Linked DNA regions of Styela clava. The protein of the gene in region 1 purifies or fractionates together with the protein of each later gene. This does not show direct contact. Links are inferred from orthologs where the notes say so. Each region holds a gene or a part of one and is shown in the gene's direction. Other genes may lie near its edges.

Region 1 (7,944 bases):
CTTATGAAGCGGTACTACTTTAGCGATTTTAAATACATCAATAAATTGTCACAATTGCAAGGAAAGATTATAAGTTTCATGGCATTGCTCTGATTTCTGTGGCTGTCACCGGTGACAGAAACATTGAAGAGTTACTAGATTTGTCCATGAAGTTACCGTCATTATCATGAGTAAATTTATCAGCCATTCGCTTCTCTATCGTAGAAAAATGTTCATTGAAACTATCAGCTATCCATACAGGATCACACGTTTCCTTATTTCCTACAACAAATACTTCCGACAGTTTAGATTCAGTGGTTCTATAGAACCGTCTCTCGAAATTTTATGAGATCAGCGAACCGGTTAGCGTGACTGAGTTACTGTCAATGTTCTGTTTGTAACAGAACCGACTGAAAAATAAAACTTTTGTGAAGGAACCGGCTGACAAAAAATTTTAATCTTACCACTGTTTAGATTTGCATCACTCTAGCAAGGTATCCATTGTTTGCCATGATTTTTTCAGATCGTTTTTAGTTTTACTCAAGAGCAATCTGTAGTAAGAATGGTTTTTGGCCAATATCATTTTTCGTACGTTTTCTTGATTTCCTAGAATAGTGCAATTTGTTTATGAGAGTTGATTTGTACAGTTTTTGTTTTTCTTATGAAGTTTTGTTCATTCTTTATCAAACCACTTTTTGTTAGATTTTTTGATCAAAATCTGAGCAAAACAACGATTATAAACTGGCATAACATTGCAAGAATATTTTCTAACGGCATCGTCCGGGTCTGATTCTTCACACACTACAGAGAAATCGATACATTCTAATGACGTACTAAAATTGGTGACCGTACATTTGAACTCACGTACATTTGAACCCATGTGTATATCCGCGGGTTCAATCTATATGCGGGTGCTAAAACCCATGGGTTAGGGTTAGTATGGGTTCGAACGAATATCCGTGAAACAAAAAAAAATTCCATAGGTGCAATAGTATGCAGGTGCAATTGTCATGGGTTCAAATGTAATGGAACCACTAAAATTAGTCATATTGGCCGAATTAAATGATCGAGAAAAACTGTTTTTCTTCGTTTTTAAGTGTTTTTTTTGTCCTATCGGTCACATGGCTATTACAGGTAGTTGATCAGAGATTGCATCGGTTGGAATAGCACTGACAGGTTTTCGATCGTATATGTTTGTCCATATATTATATGATCAAGAATTGTCGCGCTGTTTTCAGTTATTCTGGTCGGTTCGTTTATAGTGGGAGAAAAATAGGTTCATCAACCCAGTCAATTCGTTGACGAAACGGTGCGAGTAGTCCATCAGGTCGTAACTAAGATCACCCATTAGTATACTGTGTCTTGATAGTGAGGACAAAACAGTGTTCATGAGATTAAAAAATCTTTATTTCTCGACTTATCAGACAGTGGGGATAGGTAAACAGTACCACAAGTTACAATTCGGTCTCTGAGATAAACGTCGACAAATAATGATTCGAACGTTTTCTCTTTCATTATGGACAATTCCGGTCTGGTTTTGAAGGTAATACCATCTCTAATATACAAGCCTACTCCACCACACTTAGGGTTTATTCTCGCATTTGAGAAATGAATCTGTAATCACGTAAACTTATATGTGCGCCAACTTGGTCGGGTCTAAGCCAAGTTTCGTTAACCGCAATTTTATCGGGTCGACTAGTCATTGATTCTAACAAAACTTTCAGTTTGGCAAATTTTTTTGGGTTAGAAAGCGAACGCATATTTGCGCACATTGTGAAAAGATAACTGTTTCGCTTTAAGCTTGGACAAATCTCTTCAATATCGTTTGCACTTATATATTGACAATCGCATAGTCCCGAGGCTATTTCATCCTGGTCGTCAATGAGATCAGAGGACAGAGATAGAAAGGTCATTCAAAGATAATGGACCTTTCCCTGAGCATCTTTGTTTACTTCGTGACATTGGCCAATCAGCAAGATGCAAAAAGTGACGTAACAATTCTCCCTTTTTGCATCCGCCCTTATGGCTTGGACATCCCGCTGATTAATTTTATCAGCAAGATGCAAAAAGTGACGTAACAATTCTCCCTATTTGCATCCGCCCTTATGGCGGATTTTTTTTTTCTTTTCATCTTGCTCTCCTCGGCTGCTGCTCTCGCCTGACCTCGCCTTGTCTCCATTATTAAACTCCACACTGACCTCTCCTCAACTGCTCGGCCTTGTCTCCATTTTTACTCCACACTGACCGTTTGGCCATCCCGCTGATCGATTTACTTACTCCTATTTATTTTTCCTGGCTCTCGCCTGAAATCTGCTCGCCTGACCTTTCTCCCCCCCCCCCCCTGAACTGCTCTCGTCTTGATATCTTTCGCCTCGATTTTTTCTTTTGCTGCTGCTCTCGCCTGCCTCTTTCTCCCTCGACCGTCTGCCTTGTTTGATGGTCTACCCCTACAACTCACTCCACCATGTGGGGTTCGAACCACGATCCTAATGTTTGATCATGTCTGAACGCTTCCCCTGAGCTACAGCTGCTGTTGAGAATAGGGTGGATTAAAATCTTACTTGATTAACGACGTCACACTTGACAGCCTGTGACGAGGCTAATCGCCTACAGAATGATGGCGCACAACCTGAAAGTTAATCTGGTACACATACTATGTTAAGGTTGTGCGCCATCTTGGTGCACATATTTCGCGAGCTCCCAATTTACATTTATTCGAATCATGTTCATTCGTACCTCGATTGAAAGCGTTTATCTGAGACTATCGTGTGCGCTGCTTCAACTGTTGAATGCGTGAATATCCCGTTTTAAAACAGTTGTTCATTTTAGTTTAGTTTTTAAGGAAAATGCTAAGATAATTCAAATTAGTGAATGTGCAAACCAAATTTCTGACTGTCAGTGGAGGAATACTAATTTAATCTTTCTGTCTCTTGTGCTAACTAGCCGTCGTATCTCTGGTTTACTTTTCTGAATTTATAAAACATCTCAGATAAAAATTGGCGATGCGTTATGCCCTTTTATAGATTGAAACGATATCGTACACACTAAAAAATGAAAAACACCGTAAATTTTGTCCGAAGAATCCCACGACATGTGAAACATGCTACCCCAGTCATTAAAGATGAAATGTAGCAAATTGCGCGTGTTATGCACCTTTCTATTCATTCTGATACTACGTCGAGGTCACGCGTCATAGTGTAACGGTTAGTAGATGTTTCTACAGTGTATTGAATCAGAAGACTCAGATTCCGGATTTGTGGTTTATTATGGCGACAACTTCGTGTTTAAAACACTTAAAACAGCAAAAAACACAGAATACAGAAAACACGCCCGCCTGCCAGCGCGGCAGCCGGAAAAGAAGAGCGTGAAACTCTTTTTCTAACAACTCGAGGGTGATTGGAGTCTCACAATAACCGGACCCGGATGAAGTATATCCAAATTAAGGGTCCTCGAAAAAGCATATAGGCAAATATAAAAAGACAAACTAAACTAAAACACACGGATAATAAAATCCGTGACAATAGTTCTCATGATTCAGATGAAATTTTTGAAGGCTGTAATCAATGTGAAGGCCGTGGTCAATTAATCTTCCATTGTATTATAAGTGCATTCATTGCGGTCTGTATATTAAAATTTTGGACCTCCTGAAGCATGCGCACCAAGATGTCGCATAACTTGAACCCTAACCTGGTACACAACCTGAGTTCAGGAGGTTTAAAATTTCTGTGGTGCCCCATTTTCCTTTGCTCCCTAAGCACGTGCTTATTTTCCCTAATGGACAAGACAGCACATCTCAATACATATATATATATATGAAATTTATTTGTGAAATTTAGCATCATTTGTGGCTTTTATTTATGGTATATAATATATTATAAAAGGTTTAGCTTTTGAATTGGGTAAAGTAGGTAGCGGTAGTAGGGCTAAAGTGGGGCGCGGCGGTGTGGCTCAACGGGCTAAGCGTTAGGAATACGCTCGCCACCGCACCTCTAACTACTCTGCGTGGGTTCGCAGGTTCGAATCCCATGCAGGAATGGTTATGTGCGAGAGGATTGCTGGATTCCTCGCCGTCGTTGGGTGGTTCACGTAACCGCTGGTCAGTTACGGCTTCCTCCACCACCAAGTCCATGCTCCCGAAAACAAACAATACAGTAAATCTAATCCCATACCCGACTTGGAATGGTAACCGGACGAGAGGCCGTGGTTCGCCATATGGATAAGCCGTCTTATCGGCTTTCCTCTTCCCCGGGATAAATATGTAGATCTTATCCTATCCTATCCTAAAGTAATTTCAACTTACCCATGAACATTAATCGTCAAGTAACAATGTGTTGTTTTATTTTTAAAATTTATTGTGGGCTCCGTGAATAATAATCAACTTCTTCAACGGCTCCGTAACACCAAAAGTTTGAGAAACCCTGGTCTACAGCACCATGGAACACAATAGGGTTCTTTTTCCAATTTCTTGTACTCATTTTGGGATGAACCACTGCATTTCAAATGAATCCAGTGTGAACAGTGGTCGCAAAAAATACTGTAGGCTATTCATTATCTTTTACAATTTTACTACAACCATGGCATGATAGAACATCAGTATTATTTTTTCTGGTCATCAATGCTTTCTAATAGACTATGTAACGGCTGTACTACAATCCAAATTGCCGAAAGATAGTCGTTGGGCTTCAGTCAACAAGATGCGGCGTCGTTCGGGAAGAGATTCGGTGATGGAAAGGCGGGTTCCGCGGAGTCCTTTTGGGGCAGAATAAATTTGGCATTTAACGCTTCGACGTACAAATTTGACAATGATCGGTGATTTCCTTTCGAGTCCTTTGGTAAGACGTGTGTCGTATCGATGTGCCCGAATTGAACAGGATACTTGTGTATCAAACGTGTGTTCAGAGTCCTCGCCACAAACATTGCAAACCTTTGATATGGTTTGGACGTTCCTATGTAAATTTAGTTATTTGGTTTTTATTATGTAATGGTGCAAGTGTTTTTAAAATGTACAAACTCAAACAGAATTTATATTCACACCGAGCTGGTGTGAAGAGTTTTGGAATAAGCTAAATCGGAATATAACGAAAAAATCTGGAGGAAGTCTATCAAGTTGACAGTTGCACGGCTGAATAAGTCTCGTACAGCTGGCTGGCTGGCGAACGCTTTGTTTACATTTTGCGGTTTCGCAATTTCTGCAAGGACTTGGGTTCGACGATTTGTTCTGTTGTTCGCTATTTTCTCTGATTTCAGAATTGATTAAAACAGTTTTTGTTTTAATTGCAACGAAAAAAAGTAAAAACGTCGAGTTTTTGGGTTGCGATTTTGGTTGTGTTGCTGGCTGCCTTCGGTGCTATCCACTGGTCAACAGACAAGGAAGTGGAAGAGAACGTTAATGGAATAATGGCGGATCAGTTTAAGAAATTCAGGTAGGTTTTTTTATATGACTGATTATAAGATCTTACCATGAGTCCCGTACCGTACTTGTCAGAACTGGTGTAGACTATTAACGACATTGATTCATTTATAATGAAGGTGTAGAATGTCAGAATTAGATAGATAGTTTACTTTGAAAACTCCACAATCTGACAATGGTACAAACAAATAAAGAATGGAGAATTCTGGAGTGCGAGCAAAACCTTTAAAAAAGTTTAAAACAAGATTCGTATCATTTGCCCGCTCACCAACAGCATTCACAAATAAAAAACTCAAACTTTGTTAAACAAGGCTTGGGCCAGAAATAAATACAAAAATACACAAAAAATATGTGAATGTAATAAACTTTCTGGCTGTTGTTTACTTTTAAAATACTCAAGCTAAGAATTCTTATATAAATCACAGGAAACTCAGAAACTAGAAAAGGGAAGCCAAAAAATGCTGAAATGGTTAATAACAGAACAGCAAAATATTGGTTCCATTACATTTGAACCTACGTACTATTGCACCTATAGAAAAAAATTTTGTTTTACGAATATTTGAACCCATACTAACCCTAACCCATGGATTTTAGCACCCACATATAGATTGAACCCGCGGATATACACATGGGTTCAAATGGGTTCAACCCAAAATATTATATCATTTAAATTTTAATTACCTATTCCTCGATCTCGGTTAACTCAACTCAAAACTGCTCCTTGTATTTAATTAATTGTCCATTTCGTCATATACAGATATTATTACTATATTAGCCTATATCTTTACATGGCATTGATTATAACACTGCCGGACACAGGCTTGTATAATTTTGTAAGGGGAACATGCGGATATATTAAAAACTGATCTTATCAGAATTATTGCACTGTTGTATTAATTGTTAAACATCAGGTTTACGCATCCCGAAAAATTTTATTTTAATCTATTTCCATTGTGGCTGTGATATGCCATATCATTAAGCTGTCTTATTAGCTTTCCCGTTCTCCCAATATAATAATGAAAATACAAAAATAATAGTCTACTATCTGCAGTAAACTGATAGATGTCTTATGTACTTTCTTTCATGGGAGAAATAAATAAATCCTGCATATTATCTAATTCCCAGCACAGGGAGGCTATCTCTATTCTCTATCATAAAGATAGTTATTTTCACCTTGTTAAATATATTCCAGAATATTCGTCAGCACATGGAACGTAGGGGAAGCTGATCCATTGGATGAGAAAGATATTGAAAAATTATTGAAATCAAATGTTGAAGTTGATTTCTATGCCATCGGGTGAATAGCTGTTATGTTTTTAGTTTCATAACAAGGTTTTCATGTTATTGCAGGAACCTTTTTACTAGCAATACCTGTCTAAAATATAAGGTCCTAGTAGTTTTTTTTAGTTGTGATGTGCTGTTACGACTTTTGCTTTGAATAACTTTCTGTTCAAGCCCTCGGTAAGGTGATGAAGGTGAGTAGGGAGTACCCAGTTGGGGTTTCTGCAGGTTGTGACCCCTGCATTTAAAATGTGAAAAAAGGATTTTTCTATATTAACTTCAGAAGGGAAAAAGCGCCAGGGTGTTCAAAAGTTTGGTTGTGGTAAATTATCTCACATGTTTTAGGGAAATAATAAAAATTTAAAATTATATCAATATTTTTTCCAGGTTTCAAGAAATCAAAACTGGGGCGAAAGAAACTGCGAAAAGTTTCATCAAATACGATGACTGGGCTCAAGCTGTCATGGAATTTCTGTCAAAGAAAAGTTTCTATTTGGTAATATAGATTTTTAAAATTTACCCTAGGGAGAGAAGAGCTGTTAAAAGTGAACAACAAACTAATTCAGACTCTGATGAACCCAAAAGGTCATATCGTTGCAACTCAGTCACACACCAAAGCATCTGTCTATTTATTATTTATAAATGTTTGCATATATTGTGTGTTTTATGGTTTGGCAAATGAAATAAACTCTCTTCCTCTCTCTGAAAAGGAAGGGTTAATTTATGGGGAACCATGGTCCCTGATTCAATTGCCAAACCCATGCATGGTAATCAGTAGATTGATGGCGAGCTCATTCTCCTCCACGGATATCCAAGACAGATAGAAAATTAAATGCATTCAATAGTGGTTATATTTGATATTGTAAATATTTCATTTTAGATATAAGGTAGATTAGAATAATTTATTTTGAAATTTATCATTTTGACAATTTGATATCGGACATCAGAGAAAAGTAAAAGTTAGGCCAACTTCTAACGGTGTTGAATAAAGTTGTAAGTCAAAATAACATCTACCGGTATCTCAATAAACATCAGACAAAAAAAAAGAATTGACTTAACTTCTGACTTTGTAAAATGAAAAATCAATCAAAACAATATTTATCTTAACTACTCAATTATAAAATTTAGATTTAATGATGTTGCAATGATTAATAAAACAAATTTTGTTGTTGAACATTACTCATTATGAAATTAATCATTATTGCATAATCAAGAATATACAGGGCAGTCGCTAGAAATACAGAAAATTAGTCAAACATTTTGTCAGTCCCCAA
Region 2 (6,983 bases), about 12 Mb from region 1:
GTTCATAGCGCGCGAAGCAAACGCCACAGGTTTCCATTGTCCTTTAGAATTTTTCTGTTTCAGGGTCTCAGTTCGGAAACATTTGTGGGAGCTGGCATTTTGGAAAGAGCCATGACCTTTTGAGGGTCCTCCACACCTTCTGCATCTATCATAAAACCAAGAAACTTTAATTTTCGGAGGGAAAACTGACATTTGTCGTTTAACGCAAGACCTGCTTTTGCTATCTTTTTCAAAACAGCGTCAAGTCTTTTGTCATGTTCCTCTTGGTTTCGTCCGTGAACCAAGACATCGTCCATTACTACGCCAACAGTGGAGGAAGCCGTAACTGACCAGCGCTAACCGGAACTATTATTGAGATAGGCACATTTAAACACGCTTGTCCTCATCTAGGTTTGGTACGTTCTGGCATCGTTACGACACTCTTTGACGAGCAGTGCTTTCTGGTTAAATAGGGTGTACTGACATATATATTTCAACATCTGGACGCTACCGGCAAGTAATTGTAGTGATCGAGTACTAACGGTATGAAGTCCAGGAAGCTGAGAAACTATGCTCTACTTGGAAATGCTTCTGCAAATGATAGTGGCACACGTGACAAGTTTTTGAACGCCAAAAAATGCGAATTTATACGGCGATAGTAGTGAGCGATCTTCACATGTTTCCGTATTTAATTTTCACAGATGAGGTGAATGAAGTTGGGAGGGTTTTATAGAGCTTCAGCTCGATGGCTGCAAGGAGAATTCCGATGCATATTTATATAGTAAAAGTGGCTATTTACCGTTTCACGAACTACTAGATATTGATGTAAGTCTCGATAATCTGATAAGTGTGTAGGTTACAAACATGGTAACATGAGTACAGTTGAGTATAGCTTGCATATCAAACTGAAGGATGATGCTATGAAAAAAACGATAACCGACAAAGATTCTGCAAGTGCAAAAAAATCCGTTTGGACGATGGATCTACAGGCCGTGCTTTTATGTTCTAGAACGAGAGCTAGTACCTCATAATACAGAACTAAGCTATAGGTACACAATTTCACACTATATGATACAAAATCAAAAGCAGGTTACTGTTACGTCTGGAATGAAACTGAAGGCAAACTTTCTAGTGAAGTATTTACTTACTTGCAGTTTGAGCATTTTAAGCGAATCATTTGTAATAATCCCGAGCTGAAGCATATCATAGTTTGGAGCGATGGACGTGGTTACCTAAATTCGAAGAAAAAAAGTTTTTCACTTAAAATGTGAAAATTTGACTTAGGCAATTTTTTATTAGTCTGACAATATTTATTTATGCACATCTCTTTTATCATCTTGAATTAGCTACAATGAAGACTTAGCTGCTGATTCCCAACTAATAATTCCATATTGCAATCGTGAGTGAAATAAACTATAATGAATTACTTTAAGCGTTTCAGAATTCAAGATGTGTTTAGTTAGTTCATAAAAAATACCAACGGTTTGCGATAGCTTCCTGGCTAGTTAATATGCAGTTTCAGCTTAGATTATCATTGATGGTGACCCACAAATATTTTATACTATTGGTTCGCCCAATTTTTTTACTGCCTAAAAAAGTTTGAAGTGGGTAATATCTTTTCCCTTATTACAGAAGAGCCTTTGTTTTAGAGTAATTTAAAGATAATTTATATATTTTCCTTTAGCCAAATATCAACATTTTGTATTTCAGTATTCACTACGATCTCAAGTTAGGACAAACATGACGTAGATTTTAACGGGGAAGTATCATCAGCAAATAGCGTTGAATAAGGAAGATGCAACTGGTAGATAATTTAATAACATGAAAATAGCAGAGGACCAATTGTGTAACCCTGTAGAACTCCGCATTTAGTAAAGCCCATTTCATGAATATATACCCCATTCAGAACACATTTCTGACGCCCGCTTAAGTGTGACGCCATGAGGTTAAGTGATTTGCCTCTTATACCATTGAGTGATGAACCATATCGAACGCTGCAGCGAGGACCAAAAGAATCGCGCAGGTGATCTTCTTGTTTGTACTGCTATATAAATTATCATTTCCTTAAGCCTAGCTATTACTAGTTCAGTAGAATAATATTTATTTTTGAAATCTAACTAGAACACCCTCATAGCACGCGTTTTTTTTTTAATTGATTCGATTATATAAAATATTTTCATACATTTTAGGCCGTGAGACGAGGCCCTGAAAAACGCCTAAAAAGTGAGTTTCGTAGCGCCCATCTGGAAACTATATGAGTTCTTTAGTTTTGTATGAGAATGAATATATTGAACGCACTACAGCTTGTTCCCACTAACGAAAGTTACACATTTTCTGTAAAACATGCTTCTAAAACCCTGATGAAAAACTCGATTTAAGGAGATTTCCCCAAAATTAATAACCATAGGTTTACAACGACACAGCATGAAGAATTGCATTCATTTTATAGACTCCATCAAACGCATCAATTTTATGCGATGAAGTCACAAATTAACTTTGCGCGCACAAAAACACAAGTAAATCGGTTTAAATGAAAATGCAAAATTGCATTTGAGGGATTCTCAGAAAATCAATTTCCATAGCTTTACAACAACACAGCATAAGAATTACGCAATTCAAAAGTCCTGCAGCGCACTAACACAAATGTATTTCTGAAACGTTTCGACTGACCAAAATCAGTTTACTACAAAAACAGCGTAAGAAGTTGCATTCATTTTATAGAAGCTATCAAACGCATTTATTTTTATGCAATGAAGTCACAAATTAACATCGTGAGCACAAAAACACAAATAAATCGGCTATTTCTCACTGAAAAATTTACACAAAAAAGTCGTAAACAGAAATTAGTCTTTTTTCAGTTTATGTGGCTGTGTATTTGATACAAAGTCAATATTATTTATGGGAAATAGGACTTTCGAAACTACCAGATGTTTGAGAAAAATTGATTAAAAATATTCATTAAATTGACTTCAATATAATTCACTTTCCTCTGAATTGCTTCCGAAATCCTCATCCTTCAGAATATGCTTCTTTAGAGTGAATCATTGTTGGGTGGAAGAGTTTAATCCATATATTTGCAAGTTTTGGAGTGACGTGCCCTGGTATCATTTAGGTTGTTCATATTTACTCCGTACAGTGAACAAACAAATTCCTCAGCTTTATTTATTAATGAACCATTGCCCGACCTTTGACTTCTGAAAAAAATCTTCCATTGCGAAATTTCTGGGGCATATTTTAAGAGTGGTTTCGCGAGTTGGTGCCTGTAAAATAGGGTATGTGTTTCAAACCATCATTATGATTCATCGCATACAACAGTCTGTTTTCTAAAAGTACCGGTGAAGAATTTTAGACCAGTCTATCACAGCTAATTCTACACTAATTTTTTATTATTGCAATTAAATTAAAACTCATAAGAAGACAGAGTGGTCATTGAATTATCTGATTTATATTTAAATTTCCGAAACACAACTGAAAACTAACGAATAGAGTTCAAAAACCCAAAAACGAGGTAATCTGTCTGGGCAGAGACAATGCATCTATGCTCTGAGTGAGAAAAGTGTCTGAGCGGATGCGAAAACAGAGCATTGTTACATCACTTTTTGCATTTTGCTGATTGGCCAATGTCATAAAGTAAACAAGAAAGTAGATGCTCGGGGAAAGATCCATGCTTCGTTACCCTCAAAACTGTTTTGATTCTCAAATACCTTGATCATTTTATTCTTACAGGTAATTATCAGAGCAATTGGTCCAGTATTCGAAGAGAAAAGCGATTTCATCTCGACGAAAGAGAAGAATATCAACAAGAACAACAACATAATATCAAAAACGATCCATAGGTCCACTCACGTGTCCAATAAATTGGAAACCCCAATGACGTACGGTAAAAATAAAATATCAAAGTGCCTGAATTCGCAAGCGCCCGGTGTTAGGGAGACCCCCACAACCACTATCACTGAAACCACGTGTGTAGCCTTGTTGTTGATATTTTATTTAGATGCCAGGATGTTGTTACATTCAGACATTACGGTACGATGTATTGCAAATAAATATAGGGTAAGTATATATAATATACTTAAAAGTCTGCAGACATCAGTACCGCCAGACTATATCTGGTAAGATTGTGGAAATATTTAGATATTTCTGTTGTAATTTACGTACCGGTAGGAGCTACCGTACGGTACCGTAGTAAATGACCACGGTTCGGAGTATTAGTGTGCCGCCTACGCGCTGACAGTGTCTTGAGTCATGAGTGTAGGTGCGTTTATATCCAAGATATAGCCTACTGCAGTACGGTACTGATGGAAGATTCAGAAAACTTGCAGGATACTTAGCTCCATTTAAAATGCTAGAATCATCGTTATCCTTCATAGTTTAATGATTAATGAAAAAATTAGTGTAATTATTTAAAAGTAACATGTGTTTATATTTATTCCATTCGAGTTCCGTTCCGACCTTCGTCGGGTGCAGACGTGTCAGCTTGAAAAGACTAGTGAATGCTACGCGTTGTATGTTTCGGTATCTGTAATCTGTATCGCGCAATATCAACATGAGCAAAGCCCATCCACTAAAATAAGAGAAGTTTATGGATAAAAGATTGGATTTAAAGTTAAATGGTGGACGATCCTTTTATGAATCTAGTCGTGTATGATGGAACAGAGCATAGAAAAGATGGGATCACTGCACCTGTTGGAATGGCTGAATGGTGGTCGTTCGTGGAAATTCGATATTAATGTTGGAAGCATTGGAACGGATACAATGATTTTAAAGTGAACTAACCGAAAACGACAAAAGAACCCAATACCCCAATTCATGATTTGTGCATAGACTGCTATGGAACATTCAATCCATTTACCAAGCTTGTTTTTTAGTAAAAAAAAATTTGTCACTGTGTTATTTTTGCAATATAATTGAAGTAGACCCACAACATCACCATTTTTCGTCAGCGAGTGTTCTTTAATCCATATATCTGTATAGGAAAAGCACATACACGTCTCACATTTTAATTTGAATTTATAAGATATTGCCCGATGTCACATCATGTTTTTGTTTTATTGTGTTTTGCCTGTTTTTGGGGGACGGGCACGTACTTGTACGTATTTAACTTTTTTATTAAGTTATGCCCGTCCTCCAGGTCCTCTGTATTTTGTTTGTCCCTTTGTTGTTGTTTTGTGTTTTGTTTGTATCAGAGTGATCGAATAAAATTGATTGATTGATTGATTATGATATACTGCAGTACTGATTGAAGATTCAGAAAACTTGCACGATACCGTACCTAGCTCCTTTAAAATACTAGAATCATCGTTATCTTTCATACAATCATAGTTTATTGAAAAAATTAATGTAATTATTTAAAAGTAACCAAGATGTAAAGATACCGACCAAAGTTACCCCAGCCTACACCGGCAGTCAACGGGTTAACTAACTATTTTACTCACTTTATAACATCAGAACGCCAGCCCCACAGTCATGGGATGCCAGCCCACAATCGTTTTTGTTAGGCCATGTTAGGTGTAACTAGGCCTGTAGGCTGAGCTTGGTATTGCATTTGCGTGGAATATATCAGCTATGGCAGTATGGGCTATATATTATCAGGGCAAATAGTTTTCATGAAATAAGGTTTATAAAGTGAGTAAAATAGTGGGTTAACCCGTTGACCGCAGGGTGAGTGTGGGCTGGGGTAACTTTGGTAGATACTGTATCTCATCGCCCAGTGTTGCCCGTCATTTACAATCCCGAATTTACCCACTGTCTGACTGTGCTTAATGGCTTAACTTGAATTGATTTAAATTAATCTACTGAGTATGTGAATAAGACTGTAAAATAAGAGTCTCCTAGGCTATATAGGATACTTAATTAATGATTTTTAATCTCGCAATTCTGAAATTCAGGTCTGCAAAAAATAAGATAGGAAAACGGTATAAGAAACCGTAAGAATGGCAAGAATTTTGATAATTGGTTCTGGGGGAAGAGAACATGCACTAGCATGGAAGCTGTCACAGTCACCTCTTGTTAAGTCCGTTTTGGTGAGCCCAGGAAATGGAGGAACTGATAACAACATTGTGGAAAACGAAATGTCGGAACATGCTAAGAAATACCAAAAAGTAATGAATGTCATTGATGTTCCATCAGACAATTATGAAAGTCTCAGTTTGTGGTGCAAACTGAATGAAATTAGCCTTGTTGTTGTTGGTCCCGAAGTACCACTGGCAGATGGAATATGTGATGTACTAGCAAAAAACGGTGTGAGATGTTTTGGGCCAACCTCTTCTGCTGCTGCTCTGGAAGCCAGTAAAGAATATGCCAAAGAATTCATGGTGAGAAATGGCATTCCAACCGCACAATTTAAAAGTTTTAAAGATGCTGATTCAGCCATTGCTCATATAAATACAGCGAATTATGATGCGTTGGTTGTGAAGGCAAGTGGACTTGCAGCAGGCAAAGGTGTCGTGGTATGTGAAACTGCTACTGAAGCTTGTAAAGCTGTAAAGGATATTTTTGAACAAAACTTGTTTGGTTCATCTGGTGATACTTTGGTTGTGGAGGAACGGCTTTATGGTGAAGAATTCTCATTGCTTTGCTTTACAGATGGTGACACTATTGCTGTGATGCCACCAATACAAGATCACAAACAGGTGTATGATGGCGATAAAGGTCCAAATACTGGAGGGATGGGTGCCTATGGCCCATGTCCTCAAATAGATCATAAAGTGGTCGAATATATAACGAATCATGTTTTGCAAGTAGCAGTTAATGGTATGAAGAATGAAGGTAAAAAATATGTTGGAGTTTTATATGCTGGTATCATGCTCACAAAGGATGGACCAAAGGTGTTAGAATTTAATTGTAGATTTGGAGACCCAGAGTGTCAAGTTCTCATGTCATTATTAGATTCTGATTTATATGAGATTTTCACACAGTGTTGCAAAGGATCCCTCAACTCTTCTCATATTTGCTGGAAAAACACAAAATCTGTTTGTATCGTCCTGGCTAGCTCAGGTTACCCT

What was found. The genes of interacting proteins can lie anywhere in the genome.
Region 2: the proteins of inositol polyphosphate 5-phosphatase K-like (region 1) and trifunctional purine biosynthetic protein adenosine-3-like purify together in Homo sapiens (co-immunoprecipitation; 3 studies listed by BioGRID and IntAct, counting the BioPlex papers as one, with this or other methods). This does not show direct contact. The link is inferred for Styela clava from reciprocal best matches to the Homo sapiens genes INPP5K and GART.

What each region holds. Positions count from the first base shown.
Region 1 is NC_135252.1:22,907,853-22,915,796, reverse strand, and holds the start of inositol polyphosphate 5-phosphatase K-like, read left to right. Parts: upstream 1-4,937; 5' UTR 4,938-5,376; coding exon 5,377-5,402; intron 5,403-6,581; coding exon 6,582-6,686; intron 6,687-7,057; coding exon 7,058-7,166; intron 7,167-7,944. UniProt on the Homo sapiens protein: Inositol 5-phosphatase which acts on inositol 1,4,5-trisphosphate, inositol 1,3,4,5-tetrakisphosphate, phosphatidylinositol 4,5-bisphosphate and phosphatidylinositol 3,4,5-trisphosphate.
Region 2 is NC_135252.1:10,861,795-10,868,777, reverse strand, and holds the start of trifunctional purine biosynthetic protein adenosine-3-like, read left to right. Parts: upstream 1-3,977; 5' UTR 3,978-5,912; coding exon 5,913-6,983. UniProt on the Homo sapiens protein: Trifunctional enzyme that catalyzes three distinct reactions as part of the 'de novo' inosine monophosphate biosynthetic pathway.